Linked DNA regions of Arabidopsis thaliana. The protein of the gene in region 1 interacts with the protein of each later gene in a pairwise test. Each region holds a gene or a part of one and is shown in the gene's direction. Other genes may lie near its edges. The genes, in order: AT5G51570 and SEOa.

The links.
Region 2: the proteins of AT5G51570 (region 1) and SEOa interact in a two-hybrid assay, tested with the Arabidopsis thaliana proteins (one large-scale study listed by BioGRID).

What each region holds. Positions count from the first base shown.
Region 1 is NC_003076.8:20,947,101-20,952,039, forward strand, and holds AT5G51570 (SPFH/Band 7/PHB domain-containing membrane-associated protein family), read left to right. Parts: upstream 1-2,190; 5' UTR 2,191-2,410; coding exon 2,411-2,605; intron 2,606-2,706; coding exon 2,707-2,827; intron 2,828-2,929; coding exon 2,930-3,021; intron 3,022-3,451; coding exon 3,452-3,548; intron 3,549-3,760; coding exon 3,761-4,134; 3' UTR 4,135-4,412; downstream 4,413-4,939. Other genes in the region: AT5G51560 (Leucine-rich repeat protein kinase family protein), read left to right, coding at 89-949, 1,032-1,513.
Region 2 is NC_003074.8:245,263-251,089, forward strand, and holds SEOa (sieve element occlusion protein), read left to right. Parts: upstream 1-1,929; 5' UTR 1,930-1,953; coding exon 1,954-2,574; intron 2,575-2,655; coding exon 2,656-2,736; intron 2,737-2,806; coding exon 2,807-3,276; intron 3,277-3,354; coding exon 3,355-3,464; intron 3,465-3,564; coding exon 3,565-3,707; intron 3,708-3,781; coding exon 3,782-4,246; intron 4,247-4,348; coding exon 4,349-4,999; 3' UTR 5,000-5,210; downstream 5,211-5,827. Other genes in the region: AT3G01660 (S-adenosyl-L-methionine-dependent methyltransferases superfamily protein), read left to right, coding at 270-785, 865-1,170. UniProt on the Arabidopsis thaliana protein: Scaffold protein required to form the phloem filament matrix in sieve elements.

The sequences.
Region 1 (4,939 bases):
ATATGATCTTTGAAACTAACTTTGCGTATTTTGTGAAGTGTTTCTCATTTTGGTTTATATTTCTTTCTCTGTTGTACCGATTTGACAGTACTGAAGAGATTAAATGAAGGTTTTTCGTTTGAAAACAACTTGGGACTATGTGGAGCTGAGTTCTCGCCGTTGAAATCTTGCAATGGCACAGCTCCTGAGGAACCTAAGCCATACGGTGCAACCGTGTTTGGTTTTCCATCCCGGGATATACCAGAATCAGCTAATCTACGGTCACCTTGTAATGGAACAAACTGTAATACTCCTCCAAAATCTCACCAAGGTGCAATCCTTATTGGTTTGGTTGTCTCGACTATTGCATTGTCTGCTATTAGCATCCTCTTGTTCACGCATTATCGCAGACGCAAACAGAAGCTTTCAACCACTTATGAAATGTCGGACAACCGTCTCAACACCGTAGGAGGAGGTTTTAGGAAGAACAATGGTTCTCCATTGGCCAGTCTTGAATATACTAATGGTTGGGATCCACTTTCAGACAATAGGAATCTCAGTGTCTTTGCTCAAGAAGTTATCCAGAGCTTTCGATTCAATCTTGAAGAGGTTGAAACTGCTACACAGTATTTCTCAGAAGTGAATTTGCTTGGAAGAAGCAACTTCTCTGCGACTTACAAAGGAATCTTGAGAGATGGTTCTGCTGTAGCGATCAAACGGTTTAGTAAAACAAGTTGCAAATCTGAAGAACCTGAGTTCTTGAAAGGACTCAACATGTTGGCGTCTCTGAAACATGAAAACTTGTCAAAACTTAGAGGCTTCTGCTGTTCAAGAGGCCGTGGAGAATGTTTTCTCATCTATGATTTTGCTCCTAATGGAAATTTACTGAGCTATCTTGATCTCAAAGATGGTGATGCGCATGTTCTTGATTGGTCCACGAGAGTATCCATTGCTAAAGGCATCGCAAAAGGTATGAGTTTTATTTATGCCGAACCAATTTTGTTAGCGTTCTTGATTCATTTTTGTTTATGTGTTTGATGTTTTGTGTTTAGGGATTGCTTATCTACATTCATACAAAGGAAGCAAGCCAGCATTGGTTCACCAAAACATCTCAGCGGAGAAAGTTCTAATCGACCAGCGATACAGTCCTCTACTCTCAAACTCAGGCCTCCACACACTTCTCACAAACGACATTGTCTTCTCTGCACTCAAAGACAGTGCAGCAATGGGCTACCTCGCTCCAGAATACACCACAACCGGACGTTTCACCGAGAAAACCGATGTCTACGCTTTCGGGATTCTTGTGTTTCAGATAATCTCCGGGAAACAGAAGGTTAGGCATCTTGTTAAGCTTGGAACTGAAGCTTGTAGGTTCAATGATTACATAGATCCAAATCTTCAAGGAAGATTCTTTGAATATGAAGCCACAAAGCTAGCTAGAATCGCGTGGCTATGCACTCATGAATCTCCCATTGAAAGACCATCCGTGGAAGCTGTAGTTCATGAGCTAGGTAACTGTAGTAGCTGTCTCTGAGAACTCTCTCGAGGCAAATGTGTAATGTGTACCTTAGGAATCAATTAAGGAAGGGTTTGTTAGTCACCTTTTCCTGTGTTTAGGGTTAAGAAAAAGGTGCCTTTTCCCTTCCCATTAACGTTTAAAAACTGTTCAACGTGTTGTACTTTATTGGTTTGTATGATTTGTGTTTATGTTAAGCTCTTCAACCTTAGAAGAAGACAAGACAAGTACATTACTTTTAAAAAATTTCGGTAGATGGAAAATATTTATGGTACTTTGTCTTCTTTTTTTTTTATAACTTTCTGAACCAATTTATTGTCAATAATTCAATATAGAAAAAAAATAACGTATAACATTTTTTTTTCTGATATTGATCAAATCAATATCAAAAGAATTGATTTGTTAGATGGTTTTGATTTAGATTTGGATATGAGCTTTAACTTTTAAGTCTTTATTAGTCATCTAGATCTAGATACAAATTTATAAATATAAAGTCAAAGGTTAACTATTAGCATTGGCCACCAGATTCGAATAATTTACATGATTTTTCTAGACTTCAGGATTAGATTTTGGACCTAGTAAATTTTTAGAATTACTTGAGTTATTTGAAAGAAATAAATTAAATTATTAGTTGTCCACAAAAGACAGAAAAAAATATCAAATTATACTTTTCATTGGTCAAAAAAGGATTATACCAAATATCTAAGGAAGGAAGATATTGTTGATATAGCTAATTAATCAGTAACTAATCCTAACCGTCCATTTCTCCTCAAACCGCTTGATCTAACGGTAGCAAAAGGCTTCGATCACATAACACCATTTGTTTCCATAGAAACGAACGAGTCGTGGAGATTTATAAGCGAGACTTCTTCTTCTTCTTCTTCTTCTTCGAAAGCTTGAGAGTGCTGCGTAAAAATGGGTAATACGTATTGTATCTTAGGAGGTTGTATTGAACAAGCTAGCGTTGGTGTGGTCGAACGTTGGGGTCGATTCGAGCATATAGCTGAACCGGGATGTCATTTCTTCAACCCTCTCGCCGGTCAATGGCTCGCCGGAGTTCTCTCCACTAGGATCAAATCTCTTGATGTCAAAATTGAAACCAAAACTAAGGTTCGTGATCACTTATTCCTTTTGATCCTTTGCGAATTTTGGTTAATACTGTATGTGGTGAGATTCATGTAAATTAGGCTTATTGTCGTTGTTGTTTGTAGGATAATGTGTTTGTGCAGCTGGTTTGTTCGATTCAGTATCGTGTAGTGAAAGCTAGTGCTGATGATGCGTTTTATGAGCTTCAAAACCCTAAAGAGCAGATCCAAGCTTATGTCTTTGATGGTAATTTTTTTGCTTCTCTGTTGATGTTTTTTGTTTCTTTGTTTGAAGAAGCTCTGTTTTGATTCTTGATTTGTTCTTGTATGTTTGTTTTTTGAATCATAGTGGTTAGGGCTTTGGTCCCAATGATGACGCTTGATGCTCTTTTTGAACAAAAGGGTGAAGTTGCCAAGTCTGTTCTTGAGGAGCTTGAGAAGGTATAACATCTTGTTCCTTCACTATCTCATTCATTTGTATGTTTAGAGACTATTTATTCATAATAGGATATAAGATATCTGTTTTGAGATTCTTGATGTTTTGTAGTGATCCTGCATTTGTTGAGCTAACTAATAGGTGGATTATCAAGTAGGCATGTTTGGATTTCATAAAGAAAAGTTACAACGTTAAGTATATGTTTGGTTTTGTTCAAGACTATGTTTTCATTTGTGAGATTCTTGATGTTCTATCGTGATCCTGCATTTGAGATAACTAATGGGTGAATACTGAGTCTTGTGAAGTGTTATCATAGATATGTGTGGATTGCATAGAGAAAAGTAATAACATATATTCGAGGGTAGCCTGCTTTCGAGACTGGTGAAGACTTTTGTAATGGTCATGACTCATGATTGGAGTTGTTTGTTTCTTCAGGTGATGGGTGCTTATGGATACAGCATTGAGCACATTCTAATGGTTGACATTATTCCTGATCCCTCTGTACGCAAGGCAATGAACGAAATCAATGCAGGTAACCTTTATTTCCGATACTGAGGGAATCAGTGTCTGATACTTTTCAGGTCTCTAATGGTTCCCTACACATCAAAGCACAGAAAGATTTATACATTTTATGATTATAGGACTCAGTTAGATGTTTCGTTAAGAGTTTATGCGAAGTTAATTTACAGTTTGTTGACTTCATTTCAATTTTGCTTCTCAAATCCATTCTCTACTTAAATGCAGCACAAAGGCTCCAGCTCGCGAGTGTTTACAAAGGAGAAGCAGAGAAGATTCTCCAAGTGAAGAGAGCCGAAGCAGAAGCGGAAGCCAAGTACTTAGGTGGTGTCGGTGTGGCTAGACAAAGACAAGCAATCACAGACGGATTGAGGGAGAACATATTGAACTTTTCTGACAAAGTAGAAGGCACATCCGCCAAAGAAGTGATGGACTTGATCATGATCACACAGTACTTTGACACTATTAGAGACCTTGGAAACTCGTCAAAGAACACAACGGTGTTTCTCCCACACGGTCCGGGACATGTGAGGGACATCAGCGACCAGATACGCAACGGTATGATGGAGGCGGCCGCTAGTACTCAGGTCAACGACGTCTAGAGAGAGATTCACTTCGGCTTGTGAATTGAATTTGCTACTTTTGCTTTCACTTGACTATGGTTTAAATTATGTTTTACTAGAGTGAATTTGTTGGATTTTGCCTCTATTTTTTTTTCTTTTCTATAATGGTTTTCATGGTGATATTGTTATTATGGTATAGATAATAACCCAAAATACTTGGAACTCTTATGAAGAGGAACATGAGAAAGTTGAGACATATCTTTGTGTTCTTTTTTGTTGAGTCATATTCTCTTTCTTATACCACAAAAGCATGTAATAGTTGGTGATTTGGGGGGTCGTACCTTACACCACCATCGAAAGATTGGATCAAAGCTTGTACTCTTAAAGAAACCACACCGGGAAACACTCGTTGATCTCTAACCATTTTTCTGGATGTTAGTGTTAGTGTTTATATATTTTTAAGGATTAGAGTAGATTCTTTTTCATTAAATCTCAAACCTGTTCTTAAATTTTCAAATACTAGCATGTTTTAGCTTAAACCAGCTGCTTCTTTTGAGGTATAATGACCTTTTGTTTGCCTTAGAGTCTCTCCAACACAGCCATTTTCTCTTGATCATGACAACCATTTTCAAATATCTACGTTACATCAAATAGATCATTAATATTGTTTATAAGTTCACATCTTATTATAGAGGGCCTTTAGCAATGAATTACTTGATGTACTTAGGAGTCTTTCTTTTTTGTATAGGTTAAATGTTGATAACCCAATTTTTCATACAATATTATGTTTTCAAATTATATATATTTTTATATAAAAAAAACCCATAAGTTTTTGTTAAACATT
Region 2 (5,827 bases), on another chromosome or scaffold:
TAAACCAAAGTTGATTGCTTAAACACTTTAATTTTGATTTGTTTTGTCGACATAAGCAATGAGAAATAAATGGATGAATAGCCCAATAGAAGCCCATTAGCCTGAAATTGGGCTACAAGCAAACATACCAAATAAATAGTAGGGAAGAGCAGAAATAATCACACCACTCATCAGTTATCCATTCCTTTCTTTTTACATAAATTTTGTCACTTTTTCTACAAACGATTCTTCGCTTCTGTGAAATTTGATAAAGCGAAAGTTTTTTTCTTATGGATTCTCTTCGATTCAACCTCCAACAATCTCCATTTCAATTGAAACCTAGAATTCTCCGACCAAGAATCACCAACATATCAAACCGAATCGATGAAACCGATCCTCGACCATCATCCTCGGCCGGTAGGATCCAAAGGTTAGTACTTAACAACGAAGGTCGGACCAAACTAAACGCCGATCCTGACCGTGAATTCTATTCATATCCACGGTTCGTGAACCACGTAGATGATAGTTTCATATCCTCCTTAACCGAACTATACAGAAACCGGTTGAGACCCGGTTCGACTGTACTTGACTTGATGAGCTCATGGGTCAGCCATCTTCCAGAAGAAGTGAAGTACGAGAAAGTAGTAGGGCATGGTCTTAACGCACAGGAGCTTGCTCGTAACCCTAGACTCGATTACTTCTTCGTCAAGGATCTTAATGAAGATCAGAAGTTCGAGTTCGAAGACAAGTATTTCGACGCTGTTTTGTGTTCTGTTGGTGTACAGTATCTACAACAACCCGAAAAGGTACGTTACCGTAAACCAAAACCGATTTCGGTTATGTCAAGAAGATTCCTAAACCGGGTCTTTATTATATAAACCGCAGGTGTTTGCAGAAGTGTATAGAGTGTTGAAACCGGGAGGAGTGTTGATAGTGAGTTTTAGCAACCGGATGTTTTATGAGAAAGCAATTAGGGTTTGGCGTGATGGAACCGAATACAGTCGGATCCAATTGGTGGTTCAGTACTTTCAGTCTATTGAAGGGTTTACTCAGCCGGAGATCATCCGGCAACAGCCTGGAGCTCAGATATCGGTTTTGACTCGGCTTATGGGTTTTATCGGTTTAGCTTCTACGCCCGATCCTTTTAATGCTGTCATTGCTTATAAAAATTTCAAACCTATTTATGAGTAACACGCACATAAAAAAAAGTGTATAAGAATTGGATGGGAAGTTTTTGAAGAAAAGGAAAAAACCTCTCAACCAAGTCCAGCTGGAGAAACTTACAATACAAATTTTTAAAAAGTGGAGAATGAAATTACAGATTTCAATCAAATTGGAAGAACCTGTATTACACAAGAAATAATTGACAGAAAGATTACACACTTTGGAAAATATAATTAATATATAGTTTTCAATTAGCATGCATTGTATGTGATTCGTTTTGTTCGAAGATTCATGGACAATATCCAAGCAAGGTAGCCTTGTCCCTCTTCAAACGAGTATCACGAGTTGCTTACTTTATGGTTTAGATTCTATAATAACAGTATATATATTAGAAGGAAGTCTTTTATATTAAAACAAAAATCCATTGTATATGTACACTATCTATGTTCCATGCATGTGTCTTCTTAAATAGCTATGAAGTCCCTTATTTTACTATGTACATACTAAATTTAGTTATGTTTATCAGGATAACTCGTTGTACCATCAGTATATAAACTTTGAAATATTAAATGTTTCTCACTACTAGTATTAGACTGTTGCAGTTGCGTTAGAGACGTTTCATATTTAGAAATAATATTATCCAAGACCTGAAATTCTTATTATTATGAAAATTATGAAATATCGATAAGGGAAAAACTGTATGGAAGTGTAAAAGACACCAAAACAGATATTGAACCAAAGGTGAAGCAAAGAAGTTGATTCAAAGTTGCCACTTTATTTAACCTTTTGCACCAGTATATATACACACACATGGATACTAACCCAATCATTCATCACAACACATCAGATCCTTCACCATATATTTCTCTCAACCTCGCCAATATGGCCCAACGCTTTCAATTGAACTCACAAACCCTCCCAACGGCCGACCCTCTCAAAAGGGTCTCCCTTATTCCAAGATCCGCCGAGCAGAGGCTGGCTGATAACGCAGGCGAGAGGCGTCCTTTAGCACCGAGATCTCACGAAGACAACCCCTTTGGGGGTCATACTGATGATCACCATGTTGCTGCTCCTGCGGACCATAATAAGGTGATGGATCATAATAGCGAGAATCTCGGTTCCATTGTCCCTAAGACTGCACATTACCCTCATCCATCTGAGGAAATCCTTGATGCTAATATCCGACATTCGATGGTTCCGAAATCATTGGGTCCCAATTCGCTCGGTGGAAGATTTGGTCCGGGAAAGAAACAAGCTTTCCATAGAAATGGCAGACCCATGTTTTCACTTTCTGATGACCGAGTCATGGCTGATAGAGTCTTGAAGACTCACAGTCCAGACATGATCTTCTTTGATGTCACATCACTTCTCTCCGTTGTTAATGACATCTTCAAGTCTCATGTCCCATCCATTGACTCCTCTGCTCCTAAGGTTTAGTTTACTTGTGCAACAATTAATCCCCATTTCAAATACTGATTTTTACAAGCGTATTAAATTTAAAACTTTTTGCAGCCATCACTCGTCTTCAAGGACTACGCTGATCATACCTCCTTTGAAACTTTTGCGGATCTCATTGATCAAATCTCTTGCGAGGTATATATGAAGCTTTCTTGTTTTAAGTAACGTTTGAGTCAGTATCTAAGTATCAATGTCTCTGACACAGATCGACTGCAAGTGTCTCCATGGCGGTGAGTCTCACGGTATGATGACATCAGGGCTTCATTTGGATAGTCGCAACACGACGACGTTCTCTGTTCTGTCTTTGGTCTCCAAATACCGTTGGGATGCTAAGCTAGTCCTTGTCCTATCTGCTTTGGCCGTGAAATACGGCGTTTTTCTCCTCCTCGCGGAGACACACGCAACAAATCAGCTCACAAAATCTCTGGCTCTCATCAAACAGCTCCCTAGCATCTTCTCCCGGCAGAACGCTCTACACCAGCGTCTCGACAAGACCCGAATTCTGATGCAAGACATGGTTGATCTCACCACTACCATCATCGATATCTATCAACTCCCGCCAAACCACATCACAGCCGCGTTTACCGACCATATCCCCACTGCGGTTTACTGGATTGTTCGCTGTGTTTTGATATGTGTTTCTCACATCAGTGGCGCCAGTGGTTTCAAGCAGGAGTAAGTTGTTTTTCTTTCTGATTTCTAGGGTTTCAAGTAGGAGTAAGTTGAGTATGTGCTTCTCATCTATGTTTTCAGTCAAATCATGTCGTTTATGGAAGTTTCGGAGATACATGAGAATAGCGAAAGGCTTAGGAAGATCAATGCTTACTTGTTAGAACAATTCAAGAAGAGTAAAATGACCATCGGTAACTACGACGTCGTTTTAAGCTCTCTCTCTGTTTCTATATATTTAAGAGTATTTTTATTCCTCTGTTCTCAAGCTCTGTTTTTTTTACTCTGTTACAGAGGAAGGTATAATCGAAGAAGAGTATCAAGAACTCATCCAGACGTTCACTACTATCATTCACGTCGACGTTGTTCCTCCTCTACTTCGTCTTCTCAGACCCATTGATTTTCTTTACCACGGAGCTGGTGTTTCAAAGAGACGCGTAAAACCTCCTTATATCTCTGCATCTGTATATGTCTCTTGTCAGTGACTGATCTGTTTTCAAACATTAACCAGGTCGGGATCAACGTGCTCACCCAAAAGCACGTTCTGCTTCTGATATCAGACCTAGAAAACATCGAAAAAGAGCTCTACATCCTGGAATCGCTCTACACAGAAGCATGGCAGCAGTCATTCGAGATTCTTTGGGTTCCAGTTCAAGATTTCTGGACAGAAGCTGACGATGCCAAGTTCGAGGCCCTTCACATGAACATGAGGTGGTACGTTCTTGGAGAGCCTCGGAAATTAAGACGAGCCGCGATAAGGTTTGTGAGGGAATGGTGGGGTTTCAAGAACAGGCCTATACTCGTTGCACTTGATCCCAAAGGTCAAGTTATGTCAACCAACGCCTTTCCTATGGTCTGGATCTGGCAACCCTTTGCTCACCCTTTTACCACCGCAAGGGAACGTGATCTATGGAGCGAACAGGAGTGGAATCTTGAGTTCTTGATTGATGGCACTGATCCTCATTCCTTAAACCAGGTTTCTTGATTGAATAAAAAAACAGAGTACTAATAAATTTTTCTTTCTCTTGTGTTACACGTAACCTGAAAATCTGTGTGTGTTTCAAATGTTTTTTATCAGCTTGTTGATGGAAAATACATATGTCTCTACGGAGGAGAAGATATGCAATGGATCAAAAACTTCACGAGTCTCTGGCGTAATGTAGCGAAGGCCGCAAACATTCAACTTGAGATGGTTTATGTCGGGAAAAGAAACCCTAAGAATGGAATCCAGCCGATAATCAACACAATCCGGGAGGAAAATCTCAGCCATACTTTGCCGGACTTGTTCCAGATCTGGTTTTTCTGGACCAGGGTCGAGAGCATGTGGGAATCGAAGCAGAGGATGCTGAAAGCCCACGGAATCAAGGGGAGAGAAGGGTTTAAAGAAGAGGAAAAGGACCTTGTTCTGCAAGAAGTGGTTGCTATGTTAGGTTATGGAGGAGAAGGAGATGGATGGGGACTGGTGAGTAAAGCATCGGACATGATGGTTCGAGCCAAAGGGAACTTGTTTTCTAGGGGTTTGGCTGAATTTAACGAATGGGAAGTCAACATCCCCACAAAGGGTTTTCTTACAGCGCTCAATGATCATCTCTTAATGCGTCTCCCACCACATCACTGCACAAGGTTCATGCTTCCTGAGACTGCTGGAATTATACCTAATGAGGTTGAGTGCACCGAGTGCCGTAGGACTATGGAAAAGTATTACTTGTACCAATGCTGCCTTGAGTAAGATCCCATAATACTGGGGAACAAGTTGATTTGGAAGCCAACAACTTGTTCCTATAAAACCAAATAAGTTTGCGTCTTTTTTTTCCTCCTTGTTGTGAGTTTCTCTACTCTTCATGTTGTTGTTGTTGTTCTGCTCTACTAAAAGCAGAGAGTCTTTGTAATAAAATTTGTGTGTTTGAGATTTCGAAATAATAAAGGTTTATTTATCGGAAGCTTCTAGAACAATGAACTGATTGAACATTGCTTCTTTGTTGATTTCTTGATCCTTAAGCTCCTAGAACACTAGTGAACTAATACACAAGTAACACAAGTGACCGTGACATTTTTTTAATGTGACAGTAATATCTTTTGACATTTAGCCTTTTGAAATGAAATTACTTAATGCTAGTAAAATATAGGCAAAGTAAAAGGATGGATCAATCAATCAAAAGATGAACAGTCTTTTGAGTCCAAATCACATATCGTAATATATCTAATAGAAAGTTAAAAGTGTTAGTCTACATTATTGAAAAAATAAACCATGAGACTGATTGCTGTATTACAAAGGGGGAATACAACTTTAAACGACAAATCAGCGGTTCCTAGCCTGTAGTTAATGTAAAAGTTAAATCTTCCAAACCATCAAATACTTTTTAAATATTGCATATATCGGATTCGATTTCGAAGAAGCTCTTATACGTATTTCTAATGATGAGATATTAAAATTTGTTGCGTATAGAAACAACAAATTTAATCCTACCTATAAACGTTATGCTAAAGTTAATAGAAAAAAAAAAAAACATGCATAGAATAAACCCAAAGCATAACAATCTTATTTTTAGAAAAGTGA